4 linked regions of the Schizosaccharomyces pombe genome follow. Each later gene encodes a partner of the first gene's protein in a complex. Each region holds a gene or a part of one and is shown on either strand. Other genes may lie near its edges. The genes, in order: mrpl39, mrpl32, mrpl51 and mrpl16.

Region 1 (4,132 bases):
GAGACGTCCACACCATGAGAATTGTGTTCATCCTCTTCTTCTAATGTAGAGAATTCATTATAGTTTTTAGAAGTCACCTTTGATCCTAGTGAAGTCATTTCAATAGTAGGGGAAGTACGTTTTCCCTTTTTCTTTTTTTCACTAGCTTCTTTTTGATCTTTTTTTCGCTTTTCCGGCTTTTTATCTTTTTTTTCATGAACTTCTGGTAACTGTTTGTTAATAAATTAGATAATAAACAATTATACCTCATAAATTACTTCTTTCATAGCACCTTTTGGCTGATATTTGATATCCACACCTTCAATCTCTTCCAAGCCCATAAACCCATCGAAGTCGTCTAGGTGGTCAGGAAGCTTGACTTCCTTCCATTTAAGCTCGTCCAATGCAGCTTTCTTTGGCATCGTGATCAAAGCGTTGAAAAGTGTAGTAGTTTGCTCCACATAGAAAATGTAGGTAGACAAAAATTTACACTAAGAATTGGAACGAGGGAATAAAAATAATTGCATCGTATAAGCTAATAGAAAACAAATAATTAAATGTTACGAAGACATTAAACGACGATTGGTTTTAGCAATTCAATGCTTTGCCATGTTTTGCATAATTTCTAAATAGTACAACCATTTTGTATTAAAAATATTGCTTGAGAATTTTAGAATCGAATGATCTGAGCTACAGTGCTTACAAGAGTAGTAAACACAAACGATGTTACTACTATAGTTCTAATTCGGCTAGCAATTGGTACAGGTGAAAGGAACATTCTTATTACTTTGAAAATTTGACATCTCAGTCCTTCTCTTAAATAATAATAATAAAAATAGGAATTATAGATATGACAGAATAATATAAGGGTCTTTATGTTCACGCAGCTGTTTAGAATTATGTCGTATAAGATGTAGGTTGGGAAGCTAATACATAATTAATGCACATCCATAAAGTTTTTGAAGAAAAAAGGTAGATTGATCGGTCATAATTTAGCATTTCATTTTCAGACTATCATTGAAATGGAAGAAGTTTTTATTTCATTTTGGATTCTTCGAAAAGTACTCTTTTGTGAATTCTATGGGTTCATTCATTAGCTTCTTAAATGAGGCTTTAGAAAATCCATAATAACTTACTTGGGATCATATTTTATAAAAGCAAGCTTAGGAGCAGCTTTTGGACGTGAACGAACGTAGAAAAATCCAGTGCCAGCGGTGGACAATAATTTTACAAGCAAACTGAAAAATAAATGTTAAAAATGCGCATTAAATTAAGCATGTATGTCTTACCGAGCTTTATTCTTTTTAGCCATTCTGGATATACGTACAGTGCAAGCGGTAAGTTAAAGGTTTTGTAGTTACACCAGGGTTTGTGGGCGAGCTCTTTTAACTTGATGGATAACTTGCAGTCAGAAATGTAAAATTGAAAGTTTGCAATTCAAAGATATTGTTTTGAGTAATGAGAAAGCCTTTTTGCAATCCAATTTTTATTAAATTTGGTTGTGTACAATCGAGGCTTTTCAATAGGTTATTTTTTTGTTTTAGGTAGACTATAGAACTATTAGTAAAGATAAAAGGCTCATCAATGAATTACTTGTTTTGAAAAAAAGCATTTAGATTTGAAATTCTAATTGAGAAACATGCATGACGGCACTTAAGAACGAAAGACGAACAGTAAGAATAAAAAAATTAGAAAGAATTTTTGAATAAAAATAAAATAAAATAAAAAATAAAAAAATGTTAATAAGGAAAGTATAACAAATTGAGTCTGCTGCGTCTCTTCTCCTGATGTCTGCCAATTTAACAGAGAGGAATAATTAACAAACTATAAGTAATCTTATAAATAGAAGTTGCTGTTCTATTAACATTCGAAGAAAAAATATGAAGTGATGAACAACTCTTGAAAAATTCTTTTTTTTTATTACAATTATTATTGTTTTTTAATTATTGGCTGTAGATGGGTATTTAATTAAAGTCCAATCGCGTCTTTGCCAATTTATAATCTTATTTGTATTTCTACATTTTTTTTGGAAAGAATGATATTCAAATGAAAGAACCAATTTTCTTTCAGGAAAAATTCTTTTAGTTAAAATGACATGTACTAGATGAATTAGGACGTTAAGAATGAACTAATTGCAATAGCATAGTTTGCTAGCGTGAAAAAAAAACACAGATGGAAATTAGCGAGCCTAGTAAAGAAACATTTATGACGAGGTGGTTCTAAAAAGCCTTTCGTGTATATATATATATATATTCGGCTCTAAACAAACGCAAGCTTTAAGTATCATTGTAACTGTAAATTATTGGCAATACTGAAAGTATAAGACGATCCTCAAGTTGTAAGCAAACCTAATTCATTTGCTGTACCAAGACTAGGATGGATGAGTTACAAGTCACTTTAAGTGTTTATGGGTCCAAAGAGAATATAAAATGTGTTTTCCCAATTTTACAAGGGTTAGCCAAATAAAGAATGCAAATGAACAAATCGCATGAATTGCGGAAGCTAGTGACATTGTATGACGATCTGCCCGAAATCCCAAGTCCGTATCTCATCCGCGAAATTGAGACATATCACGATGCATACGGAGAAAATCTATACAACGCAAGTATAGCCGCACCCAAAGACGGATATAGAATAGACTGGAGAAGGCTACATCCCTCGGATATGGAGACTGAATGAAAGAATTGAGAGAGTATTTAAAGCTCATTAAGTGCAATGTTTACGATTGTTATTACGGTTCTACATGGTCAATAGTATGGGAAATTTTAAAATAAACATTTTTCCTGGTTGTGAAAATGATGGAGAGAAGCAACGAAAATATCTTTAACTGATGCTTTATATATGTAGAATAAAAATTGAGTTGGAAATTACAGCAGGGATAGTAAACAAGTCAAGGATATGTTACAGTTGTCATTAGAATAACAAAAGGTTTAATAACTATCTTTTAAAGAGGATTTGACATTGTACTAAGGGCTGAGACAACTCGCATTAAATAAGCAAAGGCTGAATTAAGTAAAAGAATATTCGCACTTAATAGAGGAATACTATGTTAAATATAGGATGGATTTGCTGTGTATATATAAAATTATTATCCTCTTATATATACATATAATTATCGTTAATTATTATTTATATTTTATTTTATTTTCTTATCTTTTCCTTGGTTTTTATGTATTTACTAGTAAATCTATAATAATCATTAACTTTAATAACTTTCTTCAACTGATCAATTTCCCAACCAAAATGCTTTGTTATTTGTTCTTTAAGCTTGCTATGTTCTTTAGCTGCGTGTCTATCATCTCTTCTTGTTTGGCTTGGCACGTGCCATTTTACCATTTCTTGCTTCCTCCTACCTTTTAGGCCTTAATATTAACCCCCTGGGTCATCTTTTGGCATATAGGGTAAAGGGGCCAAACTCACTATCCAAGATAAGTCTAAGTATGCAACTGTTAACATTTCAGTTAAGCACGTTGTCTCCTATAAGCAAGTATAACGTAGTTTAAAAAGAACGTTAAGTTAATTAGTCTGCACATAATACAAACATGGGATAGTGAGACAATATCGTCTGTTAGAGTAAATTTTCCTTTCTTGAAAGATTTTCCATTTTTGTGCATGAAAAGGCGTAATTTAAGATCATGCGATGGGTAGTACAGGTCAAATTGATAAACCGACTTTTACCAGTTTGTGCTATCAGATCTCACACTGTGCTCTCCTTCCGTCGCATTATTTTGTTATTTTTTGAGCTGAGTATTCCCGTAATCCAAGGACAAGCGTCAGGGTGTGTACGATAGTTGATCTGTTTAATAAAGAAACATATTATTAGAAAAATTAGGAATCATCAGGAAATCAACAAGTTCCAAAATGGGTCTTTGCTCCCCAAGTGTTCCCTTATACACTCGATCAAGAGATGAAAGTATCGGGTCAGTACCCGTGCTTCTTTGGCTTGGGCTTACTAAGTAGCTATAGTAAAACCTGGTGACATTTCTGTTTTTGTTACACACTGTCAGTTTTATCCTATAACCCTATACTACACTGTACCCCCGCCGTGTGATCGGCGCACAGTCACGAAAATTGCAGTCATAGTTACAGTTGGAAAAAATAGTGCATGGGCCACAAAAAGTAAGTTAAGTATTAGAAGAACAATAAGAATAGT
Region 2 (4,212 bases), 1.2 Mb from region 1:
ACATAGTAACCAAGAGACAACAGAAATTGATCCTTCTAGCCCCAGAGATGATTCTACTCCGCTTTCATGGAGAAGTCATAGTCATCCAATTCCTCCTGTTCAAGTCTCGCCTTTATTTACGTCGGATAAAAATGATCCTTTACAGTTGAATCCCCAATCTGATGATAGTACTTCTTCCCCGAAACATGGAAAGTCTCGGAGTATTGATGAAGTTATTTTAAGTATAAAGGATGTCATTTTTGACAATAACTTATATAAACAGAGATCCTATCAAAGTGGGGTGGCCGCAAATGCTCATTTACCCCATCGTGTCCCCAACGAACATGGAGGAGTTTCACGCATTGGCAATTCTAATGCTCTCGGTCAACCTGTTTCTTCATCCTCTTCTTACAGCCACTCCAAAGGTCGTGATACCAGAAGTAGTAGTTATGTAGTATCCTCGGAAACGAGCTCTTTAAAATCATCGAGATTGATACTTAGTCATGCAAATTCTGTTCGAATTCAGCGATCGAAGGGCGATGTTATTTTGAATTTACATTTGCCTAAAGTGAACCCGGAGCGGTTTCTTCCTACTAAATCATTAAAATTAGAGGAAATGAAACCATTAGAGGAGAAGGTTCCTATATACCGCTCATCTTCCAAACAACCCCTTCGAATTCATCCTACTCATCCACTGCGTGTAACTGTTTGTCTTCCAGGTAGCAAGACAATTCAAGTGGCTCGTCGCTCTTTTCGTAATTCAATGAACGCTAATCGTTATGATCCTCAACGCCGAGAACGAATTGATTCCGGTTTATGGAGGGCGAAAAACTAGCTTGGTTTTTTCTTATTGTTATCGTTTATGTATACTTTACATGAGATTATAGTCTCTTTTGTGTTTTCGATGCATTTAATATTATTTACACGCTTACAACATAAACGTGTATTGAAAAAGGATGAAAGCTAAGAGATATATTCAGCTTTTTTGTTATTTTTTCACTCTAAATTCTTTTGCATAATATATGATATTTATACTCAACCGTACATAGTCAACAAATAAAATTAAGTAAAAAAATTCTTTGTTATACGCGTATTTTTAAAAAGGGTGTAGTTCATTAATCGTAATACTGAAAAAATTTAAGTAGTGCGAGCAGATTCAATTCACTAACTGCAATACTATTACATGAAACAACCTTATATTTAATGTTAAGTCCATTTTTTTTCTTAAAATAAAGATTTGCAGCATCACTAAATCAGTGAAGAAATGCTTAATGCCCTTCATTCGTTAAATTCTCGACGAATATTTCTAAAACAGTGAGAACATAAATGATGTGCCAATTTAAAAGACCCGCAAATAGGACAACGATTAACTGTTTTGTCTTTTAATGCTTTTCCGGACAGTAAGCGACTTCGTTTCTTAGTATAAGAAGTTTTTTTCTTTGGAACAGCAAGCAAAATGGAATTCCATATATTAGCTATTGAAGGGGGGGAAATAAATATCCTCAAAGAAATATGAGGAAGGGCGCTAGCTTGAAAAACTGATAACATTTTTTGGCTAATTGCCAAAGAATTTCCTCTTAAAAGAGCCATTTTCGACCCAAGCGCGAACAGTAGAATATTGTTGGGTACAGTAATGCTGAACAATATTTTAAAAGTTTTCTCAAGGTAAGGCGAACTTAGTTACTGCAGAACTTGATCTTAATTATATAGTTATAAAACGATGCATATAGCCGTTTTCTAAAACCAGTAGACCCAATCACAGATAGATTTACGATCTCCGAGAAAAGAGTTTGAAATAATTGGAAGTCGTCAAAAGGAAACTTAAAGACCAGTTACTTTGGTTTCGAGACAATGCTTAAGAAGTAGGCTGCTGCCTAAATCTATAGTCTGCTGTTGAGTAGTAATAACCCATGTATAACGAGACTCCTCAAATTCACTATTGCTTTGGCTTGACATTTAAATGCTAAGTGCGCTCTCTCTTTATTAAGTCTCGCAGTTTAATGTTGACAATTTTCTTAAGCTCATGAACTACGCTACAATCATAGTCCATTTAATTATTTGAAGTTTTCTACGTATTTGTACTAATTTTAGTAGATCAAAAATTTTGTGAAATATTCCAGCAGGCGTTTCACTTTGAGATTCCACATAATTGAAATTGAAACATCGCTTTAAAAGATTCAAACCTATTTTGACTGATTCAAGATCAATCTCAGAATCATGTACTTACATTTTGAATACTTTGATAAGTTAGTCTTCCTTTTAGTTTTTTTATAATGCATTGCGAATATTAAAAAGTTGAGACTTTTAGAAAGAAGCATTGTCTCATTTATTATAAAAATTATCCAAGTGTCACTGAGATCATTCTTGGCAGTAAGAAAAAAACAAAAAAAAAGGAACAGATAAGTAAAGTATGCACTAGAAAAAGGAATTAAAGTAAAGCAAAAAAGTAGTTAAAATGTACTCTGTTTGAATCTGCCCAACCTGCGGATATGGATTTTAGTGGAGGAGGCAAAAAAATAAACTCAGGTACATATATTCTAACGAACTGCAAAAGCATATTAACGATAAATAAACAATGTGAGAAGAAACAGTTTTTAAGCAAACGTTGGAGGATATTCCGAAACTTCTAACAGCAGATGTTTACTCAAAAACTTTTTTGACAAGTTAGCCTATTTACCAGAATGATGTATGGATTTTATCAAAGGGATAAGGGATGAAACTGGAACGGCTTGCTTAAGAAACGGATGCCTTAAAAGCTCACCGGAGCTAGGGCGTTGCTTAGGATTAACAGTTAAAGATTTAGAAAGAAAATCATGGAAAACAGAACTTAACAATTCTGGCCGACTAATCTTTGGAGTACCAATAGTAGCAATTAAATATAGAGCACGTAAAGGATTTTCGTTTAAATACGGGGGCTCTCCCTCTACCATCTCTATAGCCATAATACCAAGACTCCAGACATCAACTTTGAAACCATATTCCTTTCTAGTAACGACTTCTGGAGCCATCCAATATGGAGTACCAACCATCGTCGTTCGTTTCGTCATGTTACTGTCGATCTGAGCACAAAACCCAAAATCGGTAAGTTTAATATCTCCTTGAAGTGAGAGAAGGATATTGTCTGATTTTATGTCACGGTGAACAATGCCATTTTCATGGAGATGCTGTAAGCCTTCCAACGTTTCCTTACATATTGCAGCTATCTGACCTTCTGAAAGAGTGTTATTGGTAACCACTTCAGTAAGACTGCCACCGCGCATGTATTCCATTACCATCCACAACTCTGATTTATAGAAGAAAGTGTCAATAAAATTGACAATGTTTTTGTGATGATGTGACTTCATCACGAGTATTTCATTGACAATAAATTCCTTTTTTGGCTGTTGATTAATGTTCATTTTCTTGATGGCAACAGAAAGATTAGTGCCGACTTGGCGAGCAGAATACACATCACCAGAAGCACCTTGACCAATTTTAACAAAATTTCGATATAAAAGTGTTGGATTTTTGGGATTGCATATAGACTGTAACTTTGCCAATACAGCAGAATCATTGGATTGTTGTCGAGGTGCACGCTTTTGAAGTCGAGGGGCACTTGGTGCTTCCACTTTTTGAGGAGTCGCAACAGCTTTCGGTTTGGTGCTAGTCTCGGCTCTCCGTTGATATGGTGTCGAGTTATTCGGACGGATATGTTTCGTTTCAGATGTACTTAAGGTTTGAGGCGTTAACAAAACAGGGGAATGACTTCGGATTATATTATCGGTTGACTTGCTGGAAACTAATGGAGAAGGTTGTCGAGAAGCATTAGAGGTAGTAGTTTTAACTGTTTGTGATGATAATAAAGGAGACGATGAAGAACTTGCAGGAGGCGTGGGAGCAGGTCGAGAAGGATACAAACGAGAAGATGAGCTTGTAGCAGAGGTGGGTTGAAGATGAGAACTACTAGACAACGCTGAAACGGAGAGTAAAGGCTTCTCAGTACTTTCACGGGGAAAGGGTGGCTTTGCTCCCTCCTCAAGATATTTCTTGGATTGGGAATAAAAAGCCATAGCGTCCAAAACGGCCTGTGGATGTTGTACTTGTTCCGACTTTGTAATGCCACTGACTTTTAGTAGTGCCTGCCATTCAGTAGGCATTCCAGTAAATTCCCCAGTATCATAATTAAAACCAACGTGAGTGACATGCTTCGGATCAAATGGAGAAGAGATGACAGTCGATTTGCGAGGGCTGGCA
Region 3 (4,269 bases), 1.0 Mb from region 1:
TCAATGGCAATGCTTGAAACAGCCAATTATTTATCAAAATATCGAGATGATAATTACCGGCCTATGTTTGATGAATTGCTTGCAGTTCATTTTCAGTGGGGAACGGATTCAGCTGTTGCAAAAACGATTGAGGAAAGTATTTCCAAAAATTATCCTAAATGTCCATTCAAAGTTATTGGTGAAGCTGAGTTATTGAACCGTACCATTGCTACAGACTCACGAGGAAATATAGAAATAAACGCAGATAATGAGAAATTTAATCCAGAAGTCATTAGTTCGTTAGCCTCGCGTCAAGATTTACTTTACCGAATTCGGGATAAGCTTTTAGTATCCTATGCCCGGAAGGCAAATTGTGATACCATTGTTTTTGGTGATAGCGGTACTACAATTGCTGCAAGAGTTCTTGAACTTGTGGCAGAGGGTCGAGGTTTTGCGATACCATGGTACACTTCTGTCTGCTCTAAGCTTCCAAATTGCGATACTTTCCTACTACGTCCCCTACGTGAAGTTTTGTCTTCAGACCTCAAGTCGTATATGAACATTAAGGGATTAGCTTTCTGCGATAGCTTAATTGAAGCACGTCCTAATACTATTCATGGCGTTACAGAATCATATTTCTCATCGCTGAATGATACATTCCCAAGTCTGGTTAGCACCGTTGTCAAAATGAGCTCAAAATTGCATGTGCCTTCTACAGAAGCCATATGTACCATCTGTAATCTACCAATGCAAGAAGATGCTGAGACTTGGTTACAAAAAACTACGGTTGAACATCCGGATTCCGTTGAAGGTATTAAGAATCAAAATGTTTGCTATGGCTGTTCTGTTTCTTTAAAAAGCTTAAAAGGGACGTTGCATATTCCTGATATTGAAAAAGAAGGGATTTGATACATCTGTACACTTACTACCTGGTTAACTAGAGTATTTATGGGAAGATAAATTTGGATAGGGTTTTGTATTTCGGACAAAAAGGTTAGACATAATAACATAACGAAAATGATTAAATTGAATTTTCTTTTTTTTGTATGAAATAATAAGTAGTTTGTAGAGGAATCTAAGGGGACTTTTTCTTATAAATTTCATGGGGCTTTGCTTGATCGGAAAATGGACTCCAAATACCACGAACGGATGGGTTTGTTGACTCAACAGGATATTTTATGAGGCGAGGTTTCAAACCATCACTATCTCTGCATAGAATTGCTTTTTGAAATATTGAAGACGCTGACATTTTCCTTGTACAAATGACCTTCTCTCGACCAGTATCTATTATCGTAGCATTAGTAAAAAACACTATTTTAAGGAGTTCATATTTATAAAACTAAGAGGATCACCATAATAAGAGAAAAGTCTTGGACGTACTGTAATAAGCTCGGATTAATGGATGCTTGCCTTGGCGGTTTGTAACATGAAATTCCACATCTTGAGATTCTTTGGCCAAAGACTCAAGCTTTGTGGATAAAAATTCTTTCATGCCTTTTGAGCTTCCACCCCAATTACAATACGAAAACTCAATTCGACGGCACTAAAAAGAAAATTAGTAATACGAAGTTAATGAAGGCCAATCTTTTTTTTTTTTTTTTTTTTAAAAAAAAAGAAAGCTGATTAAATCTTACTGGGCGGGTAAATGAACCTAGTCCATTTTTGGGAATTGAAATTTTAGGAATGATTTCAATCATCATTAAGTGAGTAAAAGGCCGTAAAAAAGGGGATACCGTCTTTTAAAAACCAGAATTCTTAATATGCTATATTGAAAAAAGTTGGGTGAGCAAATCCTTGCAGAAATAATGAAAAGTCGGTATGGAGACGTAAAGGGGTGTGTGGAAATTCGCAAATCCCAAATTGCTCTAAACTTCAATACTTGTTCCAATTGATTTAGAATGTTAAACTTAGTATGCAATTAGTTTTATAAAAAATTTTAGCAACAAAATCAAGTTTACTGTCTACCTACAGTTTCTGGTTACACACTTTGCAATACTTTACCTTTCTGCTCTTCTCTAAATAATGATATCTAGAAAGTTTACAGTGATTTTTTAACGTAGTACATGGACTGCGAACAAACATAATATAGGTTTTTTAAAACGAACAATTTTGATTTAATATCATTCATTTATGCAGAGATATCCTTTTCTGAAAGAGCAAAGTTGTATCGGTTCTTGTACTCGAAGTTCTTCAGCCTAGATATTTGTCAACATAGCAAATTAATACAGTAAGCAACACCACTAATATCATTTCTAAAATAATGGCTGAATTTCTGATTTGAATATCTAAGGAATTTCATTTCATGAAGCTTTATTTATCCCTCCTAAATGAACAGAATAGCAAGAAAATATATTTCACCAGTATAGCATAAGAAACTACTGTGCATTTTGTAATAATTTATTTAATGCATTCTAATACACCTTCGTTCATATACAGTACGATCGACCCTATCCTTATCTTGGCTATATCAAGGTTCAGTATGCCGCACTAGTGCATCAGCCAGCCTATCGATGTTTATTTACTGTCCGCCACTGTATGGAAGTTGTCGTTTCCCTATCCGAATTTAATAAAAATTTTGTAAAGAAATTGATCTAAAGCGTTAGTTACTTAGTCTATACTAGACGGTTCCTTACAAAAAAATTTGACATTTTTCATAGTTGATGTAGATAACTTAGGAAAATCAACAGAATGTCGTTTCGTGTAAAGGGATGGAGTGATCAGTTCTCTGAGTCATTCTATGAGCGAGCAACCACTTTGCTTACGGCTGCTTTAAACAAAGGCACTAAACACTCGATGATTGCAGACCACATCACTGTAAAAGAGTTGGATTTGGGTCCCCAACCTCCTCAACTGGAAATTTTAGAGGTTGGCGACTTAGCGCCAGACCGCTTTCAGGGCCTCTTTAATCTCCATTATTCGGGTGATGCTTCTTTGGTCTTGCAAACAAAAATTCGTGCCAATCCATTATCGGTGCAAAAAAGTAATGTTCCCAGTTTTAGTTCTCGTAATACAATGTTAGCATCTCGTGCACCGCTTACTGTGCCTATGTTTTTACGACTTTCCGACTTAAAGCTTAACGGAATAGTTGTTTTGGTGTTTTCAAAGCAGAAAGGTATCACTGTGGTATTTCGAAACGATCCTTTAGAATCCGTGCGTGTATCTTCCTCCTTTGATTCTATTCCTGCTATTGCTCGCTTTTTACAAAGAGAAATCGAGGTGCAACTGGTCTCCCTGTTTCAGGAAGAACTTCCTTCCATCATATACAAAATGTCAAGAATTTGGTTTGCCAAGTCCGACTCTAATCTATCTTTTCAAAAAATTCCTTTCACTTCTCCTAACCAATCTCATACTTCTCTGGCTAATTATAACCCAGATTTGCTAGATGGTCCTCCCGACTATCATGAATCTACGAAAGTCGACACTCATCTCCCAATTAAAATGGGCCCATTGGATGTCCAAACGCATCCTAACATTCGATCTATTGCTTCTTTAGCCTTATCCAGAAAAGCACTACTTCCTATTTCTTCTCCTTCAATACCTATGTCCATATACCGGTCAACTCCTCCCGATACGATTATACAGCAATTGACTACTCAATCTGATGATATTTCTGCTGTATCTTCCCCTGCAACCCAATATTCCGCATCAGACTATCTTGGTTCAAATGACACCACGGCTAGGCCATCCATTTTTGGTCGTAGTCATGGTACCTCACAATTCCGCCGCCGAGAACGTGTCAAGAAAAGACATGTAATTAAAATTCATGAAGCATCAAACAAGTCTGCTTCCTCTTCCGAAACTTTTGTTGGTTCTAAAAACGTTGACCTTACTGAATCTGCGTTTGATTCCATACCTGATACTCCTACAAAGATTATTACCAACATTAATAAACTTAAAAGGAATTATACCATCACTAACAACTGGTTGGAAAACCTGCAGCAAAAGATTCCGTCCGAGGTTGATAACGGAAAAGTATCTGGCCTTCAGTACAGTGCCTTTAAGTTGCTAATGTTGCAACGTCTCATGGCTGCCAAAGGTTCTTTTTAAGTTAATTTCTGTGAATAACTTTCTCTTTTTTTTTGTTAACCTGCTACTCTTCAAGCATATCTCATGGTTTATTCAGTGAAAATAATTTTTTTTTTTAACGATAGGGTTAGTTCTCTGAATTTCTTTTTACTCCTCAACATTTGGTGTTATTTCCTTTTCCGTGTCAGTTGTTACCCTTTTTATTTAAAACATTAGTATGCTTTTTTCTTACCTGGATATCTTGGTGTTAATTTTATGTTCTCC
Region 4 (4,911 bases), 810 kb from region 1:
TGCGCAATAGGCATTAGCAATAGCCATACCAGTGTCATTGTGAAAATGACATTCAATATCACAAGAGACAACACCACGTAAGGTACGAATAAGATCGTAGACTTGGCGAGGAGTAGCGCAACCAACGGTGTCAGCAATACCAACACGGTTGACGCCAATCTTGTCTACAGCCTTGTAGAGAGAAAGGAGATCGACAAGATCAGAACGGAAAGAATCCTCAGATGAAAAGCGGACTTCAATACCCTTGCTCTTGACAAAGTTGATAACTTCGGTAGCGCTGTCAATAATGTAAGTCATGTCCTTTCCATGGGAATATTTGCGAAGATATTGAGAAGTTCCGATAACAACATCAACACCATCAACTCCAGTCTCAACAGCGACACGAGCGTCATCCATATGACAGCGAATATGAGTTAAAATTTTACACTTTAAGCCCAATTTGCAAATAGCTTCGCAATCTTGGCGGGACTGCTCAGAAGCCACGGGAGAAGTCAATTCAATGTAATCGACACCAAAGTTGTCCAATGCCTTAGCAATTTGAATTTTCTTCTCGGTGTCGAAAAAAGCGTTTGCGAATTGCTCACCTTCACGAAGAGTAGACTCAATAATGGAAAAGTTATTGACACGTGAAAGAAAATCAGATGGGTTGGGACCATAAGGGTTTCCATTCATAGGAGGCTTGATGGTCTCAGTACCATTAGCTTCGGACACAGACATGTTGATGACTTTAAAATGCAAAAAAAGGAAAAGGAAAAGCGAATTTTCTAAAATGAATTAAGTATAAATATATAAATTATACAATTCAACAACTTATTGTCCCGAAACCTGTTAGCTTTGAATTTTTTAAGCTAAATCTTTTATCACTGTAGAGGAGACAACTAAGAGCAAGGATGCACGTATGTATGAATTTCAAAAAATTCGACCCTACCCTATTTATTTACTGAAAGAAACAGTCACTACCAACTCGTAGGCAACCGCGGTAATTTATGGTAGAAAATTGATTTACAGATCCCGATCGATCTTGATGAGATTTAATCAGATCTATGGTAGTAATGATTAAGTTACTGATCCACTCAACAGTGGATTGCTAAGCTAGGTTCTAGAAGGTATAGTGATTTTTTTTGTAAACGTTGTAAATATTTTAGTGGAGTTGATTTGAATAATTTCATTCGTAATTCCATAGTAAAATCAGTTTCATATTATTTAAAGTGTACTTTTTGATTCACTTCATGATTTCGCACATATACAACGTGCCGTTTTTTACATCCCGAAAAAAAGTCCCCAACGGAGCAGAGAGCAGCAAATAAGATTTTCGCCAAAAACACTCATTACCGTTACCAACTTTTCAGGACCAAAGAAATTTGATGTTTTAACGAAATTGCCGAGCCGTAATCAAAGTGAATCAAAAGTGGTTCATATTTCGCCAACAAAAATTAAGCAACTCTCTCATTGGGGATGAAAGTTCCCATTTCGAAAATAGATAATGAAACATAGCGCAAAATGTACAATGTTTTAAGGCATTTCTGGCAAATTTCATTCACTAAAACATAGAATAACTACAACGATTGAAAAGAAGCTCATGAATGTCTGTACAAAGATGCAGCATTAAGTTCACAAACTAAGTAAGTGAGAAGTATGACAGAAAAGTAATTATTGAATGGGTTAAAAATAGATAAATTCAGCTTAACTTTTCCCTTAAACAGCTGTAGTAGTACTGGTAATTTCCTGATAGTTCATTTTGCTTGTCTCGGTGGTAATGGGGGTTTCATGAATCAGTGTGGTACCCAATCTTTTGGGGGTTTGCTTGACGATAATCTCATACTTGCCTGGAAGGTGAAAAGCGGCTTGCTTCAATGCATGCTCAGCTAACTCTTTACGCATTCCATCACCACCAATTTCAAAAAGTACACGACCGATTGGTATCCGTGCAGCCCAGTATTCAAAAGCTCCTTTGCCTTTGCCCATACGAGTTTCATTTCCTTTTACGCATACTGGCACATTGCAACAAAAACGTGTGTATACCCGAGCAGCCTTGATAGGTTTTAATATACGCTTGAGAATCTGTTCGGCAGTTTCGAGTTGCTTGGCATGAAATCTTATACTTCGATCTTTTAATCGCATACCATATTCTCCCCATTCAAGTTGAGTACCACGTAGTGAACCTCCTATGGGTATAGGGACTCTTCCTTTCTGAGCTTTTTGGTTTCTGATGCTTCTGGGTGCATACTGGTGTCCCCAACGAACCATCGTTTGGATAGGCGGCATTTGTAAACCATTCAACCTCGTAGGTCCTAAAATACCAGAAAAAAAGAAAGGAAATTTATTGTATTGTTGTAAAGCCATATTATATAAGTTTTTATGTTGTGAGGGTTTCAAAAAGTCATAAAACAACGTGTTTTTATTATCATGCAAAAGTCGTTCTTTAAAGTTACTCAGAAATATTCAAAATAATCAAATTTAAGTATTATATTTCTTTTTTTATGGGAAAATGGTAACAATAGTAACGATAATAGGCCTGCTATTTTTTGTATGAGAAGGGGGTTAAAGGATACTTGGATTCTGTATGTGTTGCTGCCACTTATCCTAACTAAGTTCCGGGAAGAAGCCGGACAATAACTGAACATTAGCTATAATTATTTATTTGTTTGTTTATTAGTTTGTAAAAAAAAAAAAAAAAATTATCTTAAGCATTAGGCAAAAAAGATTATTTTCATAGATACTGAATTTAACGTGCGTTTTATGCTCAACACATTATTTGATTCAGCATCATCATTTCAATGACAACAATGCGTGAATAGAAATAAAACAGTGACTATTTTAGCTATTTCAAATAATATACTTAGCTCATTTCTTGTCAAGGAATTCTTGTCCTTGAAGAATAACAAAACGTTCAACTGTTTAGTGCCTCAGTATTGGTATTTGGAATGTTAAGACTGTCTTAAAAAAATCTTCTGATGTACGTTTATAAACCATTAGAAGGATCCTCTATCGAGCTAAACATTATTGTATGGACAATCGAACGTAAGAATGCCAAGCGCAACTCTTTTGTCCCCTGTAGCAAGAACTTGCTCACATCATGATTATAAAAAAAACAAAAAATGGGATTAGGAAATTATGAAGGATCTGCTAAAATCTTGCGCATTGATCTACGTATCGCGGGAAAAGAAGAATTGTTCTGCAAAGCGTGAATAGCCTGATATTCCCAGTTTTCTAACGTCTTTTGAGCAGCTTCCTTCTTTAATGAATTTGTATATGATTGGGATAAAGACGCTGTTCTCGTAGAAAACGTCGACGAAGAACTAGTTGTTGACATACTTTAATAAATATTCCGAATGGACACAACCTTGAAGACTTGCCAATTCGAATTTCTCTGATTTTACTGATTCTTGCTGTAAAAAGTCTTAAAAAATTCCAATAAGCTATAACACGCTTGATTGTTCAAGCAAAGGATTTGAGTTATTTGTAGAAATAGAAATGTGCTTACTCGCCATAGTTATGAACATCGCCATGTTAGTCTAGGTCTCGAAGAGAAATCGTTATTTCATGTTACGTATAACATCAAAGTTCGTTATTGATTATTTCTTATATCATTACATCATATACCTTTGTAATGCTTAACTGTAAAGTAAGCTTATTTACAGTACGAAGCAGTTAGCAAAAGAGAAGTACATTTTTATAAAATCAATCATGCGTAAATGGATTAAATTCGGGTTTCACAGTAATAATTTATCATTTTTTGAAGCTCTAACCCCTACGGTTCAACTATTTACAATCTAATCTCGACCTTAAAAAAACAAATATGCCTCAATAAAAAAAAAAAATTTCTTACATTTAGCCGGTTTTTATTTTTAAAGATAAATAGTATCAATATTAAAAGCACTTGATTGCGAGACATGAATTACAAAATGTATAATATTCAATTTCATTAGCTCGTATAGCGATTTTGCGTTTAAGAAACTTCGAAAAGGTTTTTTTAAAAAAATTAAAATAAAAACAAAGAAAAATCAAATAAGCTCATCAGTTGCAATCGGGTATTAAAAATAGAGCAACAAGTTAAAATGAAGGAATAAAAGCAAATTACTCATTAGGTAAGGGATCCAAACTCAACAAAAAGAAAATTAAAACTACTAAAATACAAACCAAAAACAAAAAAGTCAAATATGCACAACGAATACAGACATTAGGTGCTTCTCAAACGAGAAAGATTCACGTTACCACCCCTTGCCTCAAGGAGCTTCTGATAATTTAATAGACTAATCGTGATTGCAGGATTTCCATCGGGTTGTTGAGCTTCATAGTTTAGCAAAAGCTCGATCGCCTTCATAGCGTCTTTAGTGGTAATCTGGAATTCAGTAGATTCTTCTTCGTCCGTCTCGAAAGCGCGATCATCCATGTACTGCGAAGCAATTTGATTGATTATATCCTCAGAGGAATCAACAATATTCTCTTCTGAAGGACTTATAAAATCCTCTATACGCATAGCAGCTTGAACAGAAAACTCTGAGACGAGCTCACGAAGTGGATGAATCATTTCATCCAAGGCACGCGAGGTAACGGCAGATTCATTGAATAGACCAAGAACACCGGAAAGATTGAAGGCATTTTCAATAATTTCTGGTGATATGTCTGTCGTCCATGCTTTCACCAACCATAAAATAGCTCTTAAAACATTAGTAGTATTATAGGGATTGCGTCCCAACTCATTTTGTTCCAATATATATTGAACCCAGTGTTTGCGATAGCATGCTTTTAGAGCATAGATCACACCCTCACTACAAGGCTGGGAAATAGAGGCTGAAGTAGATGGTAAAGTAATTACAGTTGTATTTCTGAGGTCATTACCAGAGTTTCGAATGTTTTCAACAGCACGCAAATGTGGAGTATAGCTATCAATAAGAAGTATGACTTTGC

What was found.
Region 2: mrpl39 (region 1) and mrpl32 share a complex: the UniProt entries of both Schizosaccharomyces pombe proteins name them as parts of the mitochondrial large ribosomal subunit.
Region 3: mrpl39 (region 1) and mrpl51 share a complex: the UniProt entries of both Schizosaccharomyces pombe proteins name them as parts of the mitochondrial large ribosomal subunit.
Region 4: mrpl39 (region 1) and mrpl16 share a complex: the UniProt entries of both Schizosaccharomyces pombe proteins name them as parts of the mitochondrial large ribosomal subunit.

The regions. Positions count from the first base shown.
Region 1 is NC_003423.3:2,699,959-2,704,090, forward strand, and holds mrpl39 (mitochondrial ribosomal protein subunit bL33m), read right to left. Parts: upstream 1,794-4,132; 5' UTR 1,292-1,793; coding exon 1,269-1,291; exon of another isoform or gene 1,218-1,268; coding exon 1,116-1,217; exon of another isoform or gene 1,085-1,115; intron 1,058-1,084; coding exon 1,015-1,057; 3' UTR 777-1,014; downstream 1-776. Other genes in the region: ATP-dependent RNA helicase Mak5, read right to left, coding at 1-209, 246-401. UniProt on the Schizosaccharomyces pombe protein: Component of the mitochondrial ribosome (mitoribosome), a dedicated translation machinery responsible for the synthesis of mitochondrial genome-encoded proteins, including at least some of the essential transmembrane subunits of the mitochondrial respiratory chain.
Region 2 is NC_003423.3:3,905,495-3,909,706, reverse strand, and holds mrpl32 (mitochondrial 54S ribosomal protein bL32m), read right to left. Parts: upstream 1,856-4,212; 5' UTR 1,570-1,855; coding exon 1,258-1,569; 3' UTR 976-1,257; downstream 1-975. Other genes in the region: SPOM_SPBC1604.12 (uncharacterized protein), read left to right, coding at 1-814; PAK-like kinase Shk1, read right to left, coding at 2,649-4,212. UniProt on the Schizosaccharomyces pombe protein: Component of the mitochondrial ribosome (mitoribosome), a dedicated translation machinery responsible for the synthesis of mitochondrial genome-encoded proteins, including at least some of the essential transmembrane subunits of the mitochondrial respiratory chain.
Region 3 is NC_003423.3:1,697,492-1,701,760, reverse strand, and holds mrpl51 (mitochondrial 54S ribosomal protein mL43), read right to left. Parts: upstream 1,829-4,269; 5' UTR 1,680-1,828; coding exon 1,614-1,679; exon of another isoform or gene 1,523-1,613; coding exon 1,360-1,522; exon of another isoform or gene 1,264-1,359; coding exon 1,055-1,263; 3' UTR 889-1,054; downstream 1-888. Other genes in the region: cytosolic thiouridylase subunit Ctu2, read left to right, coding at 1-888; protein Mdm34, read left to right, coding at 2,668-4,026. UniProt on the Schizosaccharomyces pombe protein: Component of the mitochondrial ribosome (mitoribosome), a dedicated translation machinery responsible for the synthesis of mitochondrial genome-encoded proteins, including at least some of the essential transmembrane subunits of the mitochondrial respiratory chain.
Region 4 is NC_003423.3:3,506,591-3,511,501, forward strand, and holds mrpl16 (mitochondrial 54S ribosomal protein uL16m), read right to left. Parts: upstream 2,544-4,911; 5' UTR 2,344-2,543; coding exon 1,696-2,343; 3' UTR 933-1,695; downstream 1-932. Other genes in the region: lys4 (homocitrate synthase), read right to left, coding at 1-717; protein tam12, read right to left, coding at 3,113-3,313; ARS-binding protein Cbp1, read right to left, coding at 4,181-4,911. UniProt on the Schizosaccharomyces pombe protein: Component of the mitochondrial ribosome (mitoribosome), a dedicated translation machinery responsible for the synthesis of mitochondrial genome-encoded proteins, including at least some of the essential transmembrane subunits of the mitochondrial respiratory chain.